Macaca fascicularis: one gene and its partners. The protein of the gene in region 2 binds, or shares a complex with, the protein of the main gene of each other region. Links are inferred from orthologs where the notes say so. Each region holds a gene or a part of one and is shown on either strand. Other genes may lie near its edges. The genes, in order: NCAPH2, NCAPD3 and NCAPG2.

The links.
Region 1: the proteins of NCAPD3 (region 2) and NCAPH2 are in contact, whole or in part, in a cryo-EM structure (PDB 9F5W), measured with the Homo sapiens proteins. The link is inferred for Macaca fascicularis from reciprocal best matches to the Homo sapiens genes NCAPD3 and NCAPH2. Residues at the interface, in NP_056076.1 of Homo sapiens: Arg589, Pro591, Met629, Glu680, Arg683, Tyr684, His690, Lys724, Glu793, Asp800, Gln803, Arg804, Arg807, Gln817, Leu820, Gln865, Leu866, Cys867, Pro868, Ala869, Arg870, Val871, Val918, Ile925, Lys929, Leu932, Gln933, His934, Ala956, Asn960; in NP_689512.2 of Homo sapiens: Trp22, Ser68, Lys69, Glu72, Tyr75, Tyr79, Leu82, Asp83, Ser86, Ile144, Ile145, Pro146, Leu147, Leu148, Met150, Ala151, Leu152, Val153, Asp156, Glu159, Asn161, Asn162, Asn163, Pro164, Leu165, Tyr166, Ser167, Arg168, Gly170, Leu173.
Region 3: the proteins of NCAPD3 (region 2) and NCAPG2 are in contact, whole or in part, in a cryo-EM structure (PDB 9F5W), measured with the Homo sapiens proteins. The link is inferred for Macaca fascicularis from reciprocal best matches to the Homo sapiens genes NCAPD3 and NCAPG2. Residues at the interface, in NP_056076.1 of Homo sapiens: Glu1213, Lys1216, Ile1217, Pro1218, Leu1220, Gln1247, Ser1250, Glu1251, Tyr1254, Lys1258; in NP_001268861.1 of Homo sapiens: Phe291, Lys332, Pro333, Ile334, Trp336, Lys340, Ala341, Arg342, Arg347.

What each region holds. Positions count from the first base shown.
Region 1 is NC_088384.1:1,047,078-1,050,720, reverse strand, and holds part of NCAPH2 (condensin-2 complex subunit H2), read left to right. Parts: intron 1-1,166; coding exon 1,167-1,293; exon of another isoform or gene 1,294-1,400; intron 1,401-1,496; coding exon 1,497-1,598; intron 1,599-2,454; coding exon 2,455-2,510; intron 2,511-2,604; coding exon 2,605-2,689; intron 2,690-2,768; coding exon 2,769-2,837; intron 2,838-3,000; coding exon 3,001-3,080; intron 3,081-3,166; coding exon 3,167-3,309; intron 3,310-3,643. UniProt on the Homo sapiens protein: Regulatory subunit of the condensin-2 complex, a complex that seems to provide chromosomes with an additional level of organization and rigidity and in establishing mitotic chromosome architecture.
Region 2 is NC_088388.1:132,609,335-132,612,977, reverse strand, and holds part of NCAPD3 (condensin-2 complex subunit D3), read left to right. Parts: intron 1-422; coding exon 423-585; intron 586-2,311; exon of another isoform or gene 2,312-2,423; intron 2,424-3,643.
Region 3 is NC_088377.1:199,966,839-199,970,581, forward strand, and holds the start of NCAPG2 (condensin-2 complex subunit G2), read right to left. Parts: upstream 2,645-3,743; 5' UTR 2,539-2,644; intron 1-2,538. UniProt on the Homo sapiens protein: Regulatory subunit of the condensin-2 complex, a complex which establishes mitotic chromosome architecture and is involved in physical rigidity of the chromatid axis.

The DNA of each region.
Region 1 (3,643 bases), on a different chromosome or scaffold from region 2:
TTTTTTGAGACGGAGTCTCGCTCAAAGCCGCCATACCGGCCTGTTTTGTTTTGTTTTGTTTTGTTTTGTTTTAGTGTCATTTGCTGAGAAGGAATACCAACGAGCCACAGCGTTGGGGAAGATCTTGGGTTAAGTATGGAAGTAAAGTGTTTGGGGACATTTGAATGTACCCGCCCAGGCTGGAGTGCAGTGGCACGATCTCCGCTTACTGCAAGCTCTGCCTCTTGGGTTCACGCCATTCTCCTCCCTCAGCCTCCCGGGTAGCTGGGACTACCCTGGCTAATTTTTTGTATTTTTAGTAGAGACAGGGTTTCACCGTGTTAGGATGGTCTCCATCTCCTGACCTCGTGATCTGCCCGCCTCAGCCTTCCAAAGTGCTGGGATTACAGGCCTGAGCCACTGTGCCCTGCCTTTTTTTTTTTTTTTTTTTTTTTTTTTTAGATGGAGTCTTGCTCTGTTGCTCAGGCTGGAGTGCAGTGGTGCGATCTCGGCTCACTGCAAGCTCTGCCTCTGGGGTTCACGCCATTCTCCTGCCTCAGCCTCTCGAGTAGCTGGGACTACAGGCGCCTGCCACCACGCCCGGCTAATTTTTTGTATTTTTAGTAGAGATGGGGTTTCACCGTGTTAGCCAGGATGGTCTCGATCTCGTGACCTCATGATCCGCCTGCCTTAGCCTCCTAAAGTACTGGGATTACAGGCTTGAGCCACCGCGCCTGGCCTTTTGTTTTTTCTAAGTGTCGTTTGCTGAGAAGGAATACAGATGAGCCAGCGTTGGGGAGGATCTTGGGTTAAGTATGGAAGTGAAGTGTTTGGGGACATTTGAATGTACTCTGCAGCCAGCTGTGAATGCAGCCCCAGAGTTGAGGAGAGAGCTGGTCAGGATGGGTTTGGGGCTCGTTGGCTCATGGTTGGCAGCTTGGGCATGGGATGAAGGAATGTGCATGGCGGGGGCTGCATGGGAAGAAGAGAGGCTGAGGATGGAATGCCTGGGACACTGACATTTAAGGGGTGACAGGAGCTGGGGCTCCGGGAGGCTGAGGGGGGCAGAGGAAGGATGATGACTAATCCGTAACTGTTTCCTGAGTTCTCTGCCCAAAGGATGGAAACCTCCGCATTTTGTCTCTGCTTTTCCTACCCCTGAGGTTTCCTTTTCTTCTCTGTGTCAGGGGTCTTCCTGCTGGAGCCTGTCAGCTTATGGCGCCTTGTGGAGGCGGCGCCTTGTGGAGTGAGCCGCTGTGCTGCCCTGGTTGTTTGCAGACAGTGTGCCCTGGGGGCCTTCCACTTCCAAAACAGGTTTTTGTTATAGGAAGTAGGAGGAAACACGGAGACCTGTCTATCCACCCAAATACCAGGGACAACCGGGGAGCCCATAGCAGAGCTCGCGCTACCCGTCTCAGGAGGTGCTGGGCAGAGACCAGTGATGGGTGGGGCTGCCCTGGAAGCAGCAAGTGCAGACTGGGCCTTGGATTCCCCCGCCCTTGTGTTGTTTCTTGCAGCTGGATCAGATCTGCATTTCTTTTGACGAAGGCAAGACCACAATGAACTTCATTGAGGCAGCGTTGTTGATCCAGGGCTCTGCCTGCGTCTACAGTAAGAAGGTGGGCCCTGCTTGACGCTGGTCTTGGCATTTCGGTGGCCAGTGGGACCGCAGTCAGTTCTTCTGGGGCAGGCGCAGTGGTCATCCCGTCTGTGACCTACCTCCCTCTCTCCTCAGGTCTCAGCCACTTCCTCGGCACCTTCCAACACCAAGAACTTTTTAATTTTAAATCGCACAACCAGGCAGGGAGGGTCTTGTGTGCTGTTGGGCTCTGTTGTCTTGGGGGAATGACACCTGCTGTGTGCACTTGGGCACAGTCCAGGGTGCCCCATGCACCCACCTTACCCTTCCCCATCCTCTACTTGTGGGTGCTTCATTGTCAGCACCTCGAAAATCCGCAGCCACTACCCTCATGGTTCTGCGGAGGAGGAGGACAGGAAGTGGGTGAAGGACTGTGTCCTGCAGGCCCCGTGGCGGCTGGAGCTGGGACGGGGCAGGGCCAGGACATGAGGAGGAGGAACTAGGGTGATGCTGGCAGGAGCACATGGGCGGAGGAGCAGCAGGACTACAGGCCATTGGCAGAGTGGGTGCCAAGCACGAGGGGCCTGGCCACCAAGGGCTGTGTGAGGCATACTGTGGGCACCACACTGCCGTCAAGGTCACCCGTTGAGAAGGCCATGCTTGGCGGCTGCGTGGAACATAGCAGGCAGGAGAGAGATGTGGGTGGCCTCAGCTGGTAAAGTAATTCTCATGAGATTCGTGGTTTGATTTGAGAATTATTTTTGGAACAAAAATTGGTGGTTTCTTGTACTGGAGGTTTGGTGGTAGTGGCCAGGCCTCGTGGAGGGCACCGCTGGGAAGGCCTTGGGGGTGGGCCCCTCCTTTCTGGGTCCTCACTGCCTGCGTCTGGTCACCAGGTGGAATACCTCTACTCGCTCGTCTACCAGGCCCTTGATTTCATCTCTGGAAAGAGGTGAGTTCCGGAGCCACTCACTGTGCTGCCCTGCATGTGGCCAGGGAGGCCCCCGCAGCTTCTGGGATGCCCATGGGATACTTTTCTCTCTCAGGCGGGCCAAGCAGCTCTCTTCGGTGCAGGAGGACAGGGCCAATGGGGATGCCAGCTCTGGGGCCCCCCAGGAGGCAGAGAATGAGGTGAGTTTCTTGGGCACGTGGCCCCCGCCCACTGTGTGTTTGCCTGGGCTCGGCCCCCATGAGCTCTGTCTCCCTCCAGTTCCTGTCGCTGGATGACTTCCCTGACTCCCGGACTAACGTGGATCTCAAGAACGATCAGGCGCCCAGCGTGAGTCCTGGCCTGGCCCCTCTTAGGTTGGGGCGAGCTCAGCACTTTCCCTGGGGCTGTGTTGAGCTGATCGGGTGTGGGAAGGTGTCGCTGCCCTGTGTGGGCTCTGTTCTCCACTGGAGTGGAAGGATGCCTGGCTCACCCAGCCTCGGCCTCCATGCAGGAGGTCCTCATCCTCCCCCTCCTGCCCATGGCCCTGGTGGCCCCTGATGAAGTGGAGAAGAACAACAGTCCCCTGTACAGGTAGGGTCTGAGCCCGGCGGCGGCGAGGGAGGAGGGAGGCCTGCCTGGGAAGGGTCTCTACAGCGGGCGTGTTCTCGCCGGCACAGCCGTCAGGGTGAGGTCCTGGCCAGCCGGAAGGATTTCAGGATGAACACGTGCGTTCCCCACCCCAGAGGGGCTTTCATGTTGGAGCCAGAGGGCATGTCCCCCGTGGAGCCAGCAGGCGCTTCCATGCCAAGGACCCAGAAGGGTGAGGGCTTGGATGCGGGGGCTTGGTGGGAAGGAAGGGAGGGAGGGTCTTCTGGGTGGACTCTTGTGGGGTGCCCTGTGCTTGCCACCTCTGGTCTTGGGAGCTCCCTCTCTCTGGGTGCCCGCTCCAGTCTAGACAGGTTGGCTGGTGCTCATCCCACCCGTCTGCTGTGCCTTGATTACAAGTTAACATGGTCTCAGTGCCAGGGACCTGGTGCCTGGCTCAGGGCCCTGCTGTGTTCCCCCAGCCCAAGGCCTGGAGTCTGCTGGACTCTGCCCTTCTGCTGGCCCCTTGGAGGGGCTTGTTGAACACCAGGCAGGGACCATCTTGGAGA
Region 2 (3,643 bases):
ATTTAAATTTAAATAAAAGGCTCTGATTTCCACAGTGATTATTGGTAAACGGATTTGAGTTCCTTTTAATATAGAGGGATTAACTTTTCTGAATAATCACTAATATATGGTGTCCCAAAAGTGTTAGTGTAGTTTTAAACTGTAATTTCTGAAGTTTATATGCTACAAACTTAACCAAAAATTCTTTTGAAAGTTTAATTATTTAAATATGTTATGTACATATTTATCTTTGTAATTTTGGATAATATATTTTTAATTTTGATATTTTGTTTCAGTCCCTTTGAAGATGGTAAACATTTAGCAATAGGAACCAGGCTAGTCTATTCCTCTTTTTGTAAGGCACCAAGAACTTACAAAAATCAAATAATTGATGTTTCCATTTCTCTGATGACTGGCTTTTGTGATTTGCCCTCTCCCCACAGAGTGTCTGGACCTTCTTCATTGAGAACAATGTTTCCCATAGTACACTGGTGGCATTGTTCTATCATTTTGTTCAAATAGTTCATAAGACAAATGTCAGTGTACAGTATCGAGAATATGGCCTTCACGCTGCTGGGCTTTACTTTTTGCTGCTAGAAGTACCAGGTATGTAGACCTGATATGATAGGATAAATCTTCTGTCACTTTTTTCTTTCTACATTTTTCAATTCTTATACTTTGTTTCTTGTTTCTTCACTTATAAACGGGGCAGTGCTAACCCATGGCAGAGAGTTGTTCTGAGGAGCAAGTCTGTAAAGTACATGGCATGTTGTAGGTCTTTGAAAACCTTCCCTTTTTTTTTTACATCCAAAATTATGCTATCTATAAACGAATAAAAATAATCTGAGGACCGCGAGAGCTCCACGCCCGCCCTCCGCCGTTGCCCTCCGCCATCGCCGTCTGAGGAGCACCGCAAGAGCTCCGCGCCCGCCCCCCACCCATCGCTGTCTGAGGACGACCCCGAGAGCTCCACGCCCTCCCCCCGCCATCGCCGTCTGAGGAGTACCGTGAGAGCTCCGCGGCCGCCCCCCCCAGCCCATCGCCGTCTGAGGAGCACCGCAAGAGCTCCGCGCCCGCCCCCCACCCATCGCTGTCTGAGGACGACCCCGAGAGCTCCGCGCCCTCCCCCCGCCATCGCCATCTGAGGAGCACCGCGAGAGCTCCGCGCCCGCCCCCCGCCATCGCTGTCTGAGGACGACCCCGAGAGCTCCACGCCCTCCCCCCGCCATCGCCGTCTGAGGAGCACCGCGAGAGCTCCGCGCCCGCCCCCCGCCATCGCCGTCTGAGGAGTACCGCGAGAGCTCCACGGCTGCCCCCCCACCCCGCGCCCATCGCCGTCTGAGGAGCACCGCGAGAGCTCCACGGCCGCCCCCCGCCATCGCCGTCTGAGGAGCACCGCGAGAGCTCCGCGCACTCCCCCCCGCCATCGCCATGTGAGGAGGACCGCGAGAGCTCCGCGCACTCCCCCCCGCCATCGCCGTCTGAGGAGCACCGCGAGAGCTCCGCGCCCGCCCCCCGCCATCGCCGTCTGAGGAGCACCGCGAGAGCTCCGCGCACTCTCCCCCGCCATCGCCGTCTGAGGAGCACCGCGAGAGCTCCGCGCACTCCCCCCCGCCATCGCCGTCTGAGGAGGACCGCGAGAGTTCCGCGCACTCCCCCCCGCCATCGCCATGTGAGGAGCACCGCGAGAGCTCCACGGCCGCCCCCCGCCATCGCCGTCTGAGGAGCACCGCGAGAGTTCCGCGCACTCCCCCCCGCCATCGCCATGTGAGGAGGACCGCGAGAGCTCCGCGCCTGCCCCCCGCCCCCCGCCCGTCGCCGTCTGAGGAGGACCCCGAGAGCTCCGCGCACTCCCCCCCGCCATCGCTGTCTGAGGAGCACCGCGAGAGCTCCGTGCCCACCCCCCGCCATCGCCGTCTGAGGAGCACCGCGAGAGCTCCGCGCCCGCCTCCCCCACGCCATCGCCGTCTGAGGAGCACCGCGAGAGCTCCGTGCCCGCCCTCCCCCCCGCCATCGCTGTTTGAGGAGCACCGCTAGAGCTCCGTGCCTGCCTTCCCCCCGCCATCGCCGTCTGAGGAGGACCGCGAGAGCTCCGTGCCTGCCCTCCGCCATAGCCGTCTGAGGAGCACCGCGAGAGCTCCGCGCCCGCCCTCTGCCATCGCCGTCTACAGTTCTAATACTGCCCTTTCTCCTCATGATTCCTTGTCTAGACTGAGAAATAACTGCTGTGAGGAGTCATTGTTTTTACCTCTCCGATGTTGGTGTTGAAAAATAGGTTAAAACCATTCTAATCAAGAAAGCAGGAAAGCAGCTAGTAATACGTGAAGGAGGGCACTGACCAGGAGTCTGTGTTCGAGCACTGTTTTACTTTATTGTCAGAGCACTGAGGAGGCCTTTCCTCCTGTGACGGTGAAATCCATTCTCTTCCCTACTCCAAACCCAAGGTGAGAGACAGTGGAACGTAGAGATTGAGTTCAGTAACCCAGAGTTCATATGGAAAAGAAAATGACAAGATCACTCACCTTGCTGCTTCTCTTTGTTTATATTAGCATTTGTAATTAATGCTCAGGGTGTATTCCATATGATCTGGGAGTGGGCAAAAAGGTATTATATTTAAAGCCTTGAACATTGGTTTGTGTTATTGTTAATGCTCCCATAATGACTTTGGAAATAAGTAAGTTCCTAAAGGATTTTGTTGCTAAGCAGTGTCTCAGTTGTAACCAGGCCCTTTCTCAAAAAAGTAGTGGTTTTAGAAACCCATTTCACTCTCATCTTGCCAGATGCAGTTTCTTCTGATTAAGATTGAGATTTATGCCAGAGCAAAGAGGTGGCTGTTACTAATTGTGTGGGCCACTTGCAGCTTTCCAGCAAGCCGTATTCTTGCAGTTCTGTTTTTAAATGTTTTGGGTTTATGATTGAGATGCTGTCAATACTTAATATTCGATCACGGTATATTTTTCTTTTTCAAGATCATTTTGGTTGTTCTGCCTCCCTTGCATTTCCATGTGAATTTTAGGATCTGCATGTGAATTTTTGCAACAACAAAAAAGCCAGCTGCGGTTTTGACAGGGATTGCATTGAAACTGTAGATGAGTTTGTGAAGTATTACCAATTTAACAACGTTAGGTCTTCTAATCTCTGGCTGTAGGATGTCTTTCCATTTATTGTCGATCTTCTTTAATTTGTTTCAATAATGCTCTCTAATTTTCGGGGCGCAACTCTTGCATCTCCTCTTTAAAATTTATTCTTAAGTATTATTTTCAGTGCTAGTGTAAATGAAATTGTTCCCTTAATTTTATTTTGGATTGTTTTATTAGTAGTGTATAGAAGCAAAATTGATTTTGATTATCTTGTATCCTAGAACCTTGCGAAACTCATCTGTTGATTCCAACAGGGTTTTCTTTGTGTAAGATCACGTCATCCGTGAATAGACACAGGTTTACTTCTTTCTTTCTAGTCTGGGTTCTTTCTATTTACTTTTCTTACTTATTTGCCCTGGCTAGAACCGCCAGTACAATGTTGAATAGAAGGGGAGCTTGGGGATCCTTGTCTATTCCTGATCTTAAGGGGAAAGCATCCAGTCTTGCCTTTAGATATGATGTTATCTGTGGGTTTCTCAGGATGGCCTTTGTTAAGTTATTATTCCTGTTTTACTGAGTGTTTC
Region 3 (3,743 bases), on a different chromosome or scaffold from region 2:
TTAGACTATCCTTTAGAAATGCGTAACCACAGCACTCTCCTCCCACCCCTTCGGGATAATGAGAGCTCAGGGGACTTTGTACACCTTCTATCCTGTCTGTGTTTTTCCAGGAAATTCTATTTCACATTCACAACACCTGGTGCTATTGGTGCCCTACTAAAAAGACATCAACCTAAAGATGAGGTAATAGCAAATGATGGAACATATTTGCAGTAGGAGTCCCCTGACTTTAAAAATAAATGAAAACCACCTGCACCATTATAAATAGAGCAATATGGAAAATTACTGCCAATAATTATGGGGATAGAGAGTTATCTTAAACATATAATACTAGATTTTAATGTCTAAATCGAACAAAGCAGAAAATAACCTCAGTTTAATGACTCCCCAAATAAGTTAACAGTGAAGTCTGGTCATCTCATTCCTCAACTCAAATGGCTGAACTATGAACCACAGTCATGGACCACATAACATTTCAGTCAACAACAGACCACATATATGACTGTGGTCCCATAAGATTATAATGCCATATTTTTACTGTGCCTTTTCTATACTTAGATATGTTTAGCGATGCAAATACTTACCATTGTTACAGTTGCCTACAGTACAGTAACATTCTAGCAGCAGTAGGCTACACCCTCTAGGTGTAGGCAAGTTCACTCTGTGATGTTCATTCAATGATGAACTTGCCTAACCACAACGTTTCTCCCTCTTTAAATGAAGCATGACTCGCATACATTTTACTGACAAAGAAAATGGGGGAGGGAAGGGAGAGTGGCCAGCAACAAGCATAACGAATAGTGGCTAGGACAAATTCATGATTTTAGAAAAATAATCCAATAAGGTGCAGCAAACACATGGAATCATACATCTTCACCTGGCAAGTCTGTGAACTCTCCACTTTTTCATAGTTCTGGTCACTTTTCTTGTTTGCTCTATTTCCAGGTGTACCTCTTTGGCATTGTAGTCCAACCTACAGTAATATACTTCCTCCAGACTACCAAACTTATTCCTGTATTTCCCATTTTCCCTCTTATATTAGTGACTGTAATTTTTTAATGGTTAATTTTTCAATCTATCTCCCAAAGTGGCAATATTCCATGTTTCTTGTAGTATATGTGCATAAGATCTCAGCCCTGCAGCCAGAATGCTACTTTCAAGGTAAGGAGTCATCTCACCACCCAGTTATCAGTCCAAAGAGCAGGCTACTCTTCGCACAGAAGGTCCGGTACTGAATCAAGATGAGCATTAAAAAGAAGAAATCCCTGTAACCTTGTCACTACCCGTGACTTTCCACTCTGTCCCCAAACTCCTTCCTCATTGACACAACAAGAGGCACCAAACCAGCAACAAGAGTTCAGGAGACTGATGTCTCTGAGGACAATGCCCATGTCCATGGCTGGGGAGATACTCTCTGAGGGAAGTGCCTACATCCAGGGCTCAGGGAGACTCTCTCTAAGGGGACACTGTCTGAGGGCAGTGCCCATGCCCAGGACTGAGGGGGTCGCTGAGGGCACTGCCCATGCCCAGGACTGAGGGGGTGGCTCTCTGAGGGCAGTGCCCAGGCCCAGGACTGAGGGGATTTACTCTCTGAGGGCAGTGCCCAGGCCCAGGACTGAGGGGACACTGAGGGCAGTGTCCATGCCCAGGACGGAGGGGGTGGCTCTCTGAGGGCAGTGCCCAGGCCCAGGACTGAGGGGATTTACTCTCTGAGGGCAGCGCCCAGGCCCAGGAATGAAGGGACACTCTGAGGGCAGTGTCCACGCCCAGGACGGAGAGGCTCACTCTCTGAGGGCAGTGCCTAGGCCCAGGACTGAGGGGACACTCTCTTGAGGGCAGTGCCAATGCTCAGGGCTGGGGGGTCGCTCTCTGAGGGCAGTGCCCATGCTCAGGGCTGGCGGGTCACTCTCTGAGAGCGTGCCCGCGCCCGGGGCTGAGGGGACTCTCTCTGAGGGCAGTACCGACACCCAGGACTGAGGGGGACTCTCTCTGAGGGTAGTGTCCATGCCCAGGACGGAGGGGACACTCTCTGAGGGCAGTACCCATGCTCAGGGCTGGGGGGTCGCTCTCTGAGGACAGTGCCCGCACCCGGGGCTGAGGGGACCCTCTCTGAGGGCAGTGCCCATGCCCAGGACGGAGGGGACACTCTCTGAGGGCACTGCCCATGCCCAGGACGGAGGGGACACTCTCTGAGGGCAGTGCCCATGCTCAGGGCTGGGGGTTCGTTCTCTGAGGGCGTGCCCGCGCCTGAGGCTGAGGGGACTCTCTCTGAGGGCAGTGCCCGCGCCCGGGGCTGGGATTTTCCTCCGACACGGACAGGAAGGACGGGCGTCGCTGAGCTGGGAAGGGGGGATGGCCCGGGGTCGCCTCTTCCGTCCGGTCCCGTCAGACGCAGCACTGCCCGCGCGCTGGTCGGCAGCCCACTTAGGGAAGTGGAGGCCGGGACCCCGACCAGCCGAGGAGGGGCTTCCGCCCGATCCCTGCTACCTCCCAGCCTCTGCTCTGAACCCAATCCCGGCTCCGCACCGCAGCTCTCACCTGGGCTCGGGGACCCGCCGTTTCCCGCGCTCGGACCAGATTCAAACGCACCCGCCGGCGCCCCAGACGGGCCCCGCCCTCCCGGTCGTCACCCAGCGCCGCTCTCGCGAGAGCTGGGGCGCCGCGATCCTCGGGCCCTACCCACACGCCCGCTCCGCCCCGCCTCCAGATCATGCCCCGCCCACATGCCCGCCGGTCTTCCTCCTGTCTATGCCCCGCCTCTTGGGCGCTTAGCCCAGTGCCCTACCGGGCACCACGGAACGCGCACGCGCGGCGCCACAGCTGGGGAACCCATGCACGGTGCGCGCGCCGACGTCCACTGCGAGCTTGTGCGCGTCCTGGGGCCTCCGCGGAGGGAGTGCGCGGTCCAGGAGAGGGCGGGGCGCTGGGAGCGGGCGGTGTTGGGGGAAGGAGGAAGGAGAGGAAGGGAGAGACGGGGAGAGGAAGGAAAGGTTTGGGGCGGGGAGAGGCCACAGGGCCGTGTCTGGATCCCCGGGAGGACCCCACCCCGGCCTGGCCGGCTACCGTGACCGCCCTCCCTGCCAAGGGGTCACCTGTCCGGCCTGCACCCAGTAGGTGCGCCCTGGGCAGGTGCTTCCCCCGCAGAACTCCTACCCCCCCACCCCCGGCAGGTAGGCTGCCCATAGGGTGGAGAGGGAGAGGCCTTAGCGGGGACCCTCGAAGGCACCCGTGTGAAGGAGGAGTAGCAATGTCGTTTAATTCTTTGGACTTAAATGCCAAAGGCACATACTGATCTATCAATCTCTTTTAATTTGTGTCAGCGAATAACTTCATTGGGCGTTCCCAATTTTTGTTGAAAGCAAATTCTTAGAAAATGGTGCTCTTTACCACCGAGCTCTGCATCCCTTCGTGAGGTTTTGGCCTTCCCTGGTGCTATGTTCTTTCATGCTTGAGATGTCTAGAGTGGTATCTGTTTTCCTGGCTGAACTCAAACCAGAGGTCTCGGCGAGATTGAAGTCGTTGCACTGTGGGAGCACAGCACCACCCAGTAGGAACATCATGGGAGCCACAGTGCAATTGTAAATTTCTAGTGACCACATTAGAAAAAAATAAATAGGTGACATTGATTTTTAAATATGTTTTATTTAGGCTAGTGTATCAAAAATATTTATATTACTTGTTGGAATATCGTTTCAACAAGCAATATAAAATTATAGCAGGGAGAAGAGTGGTTTACTGGGAAG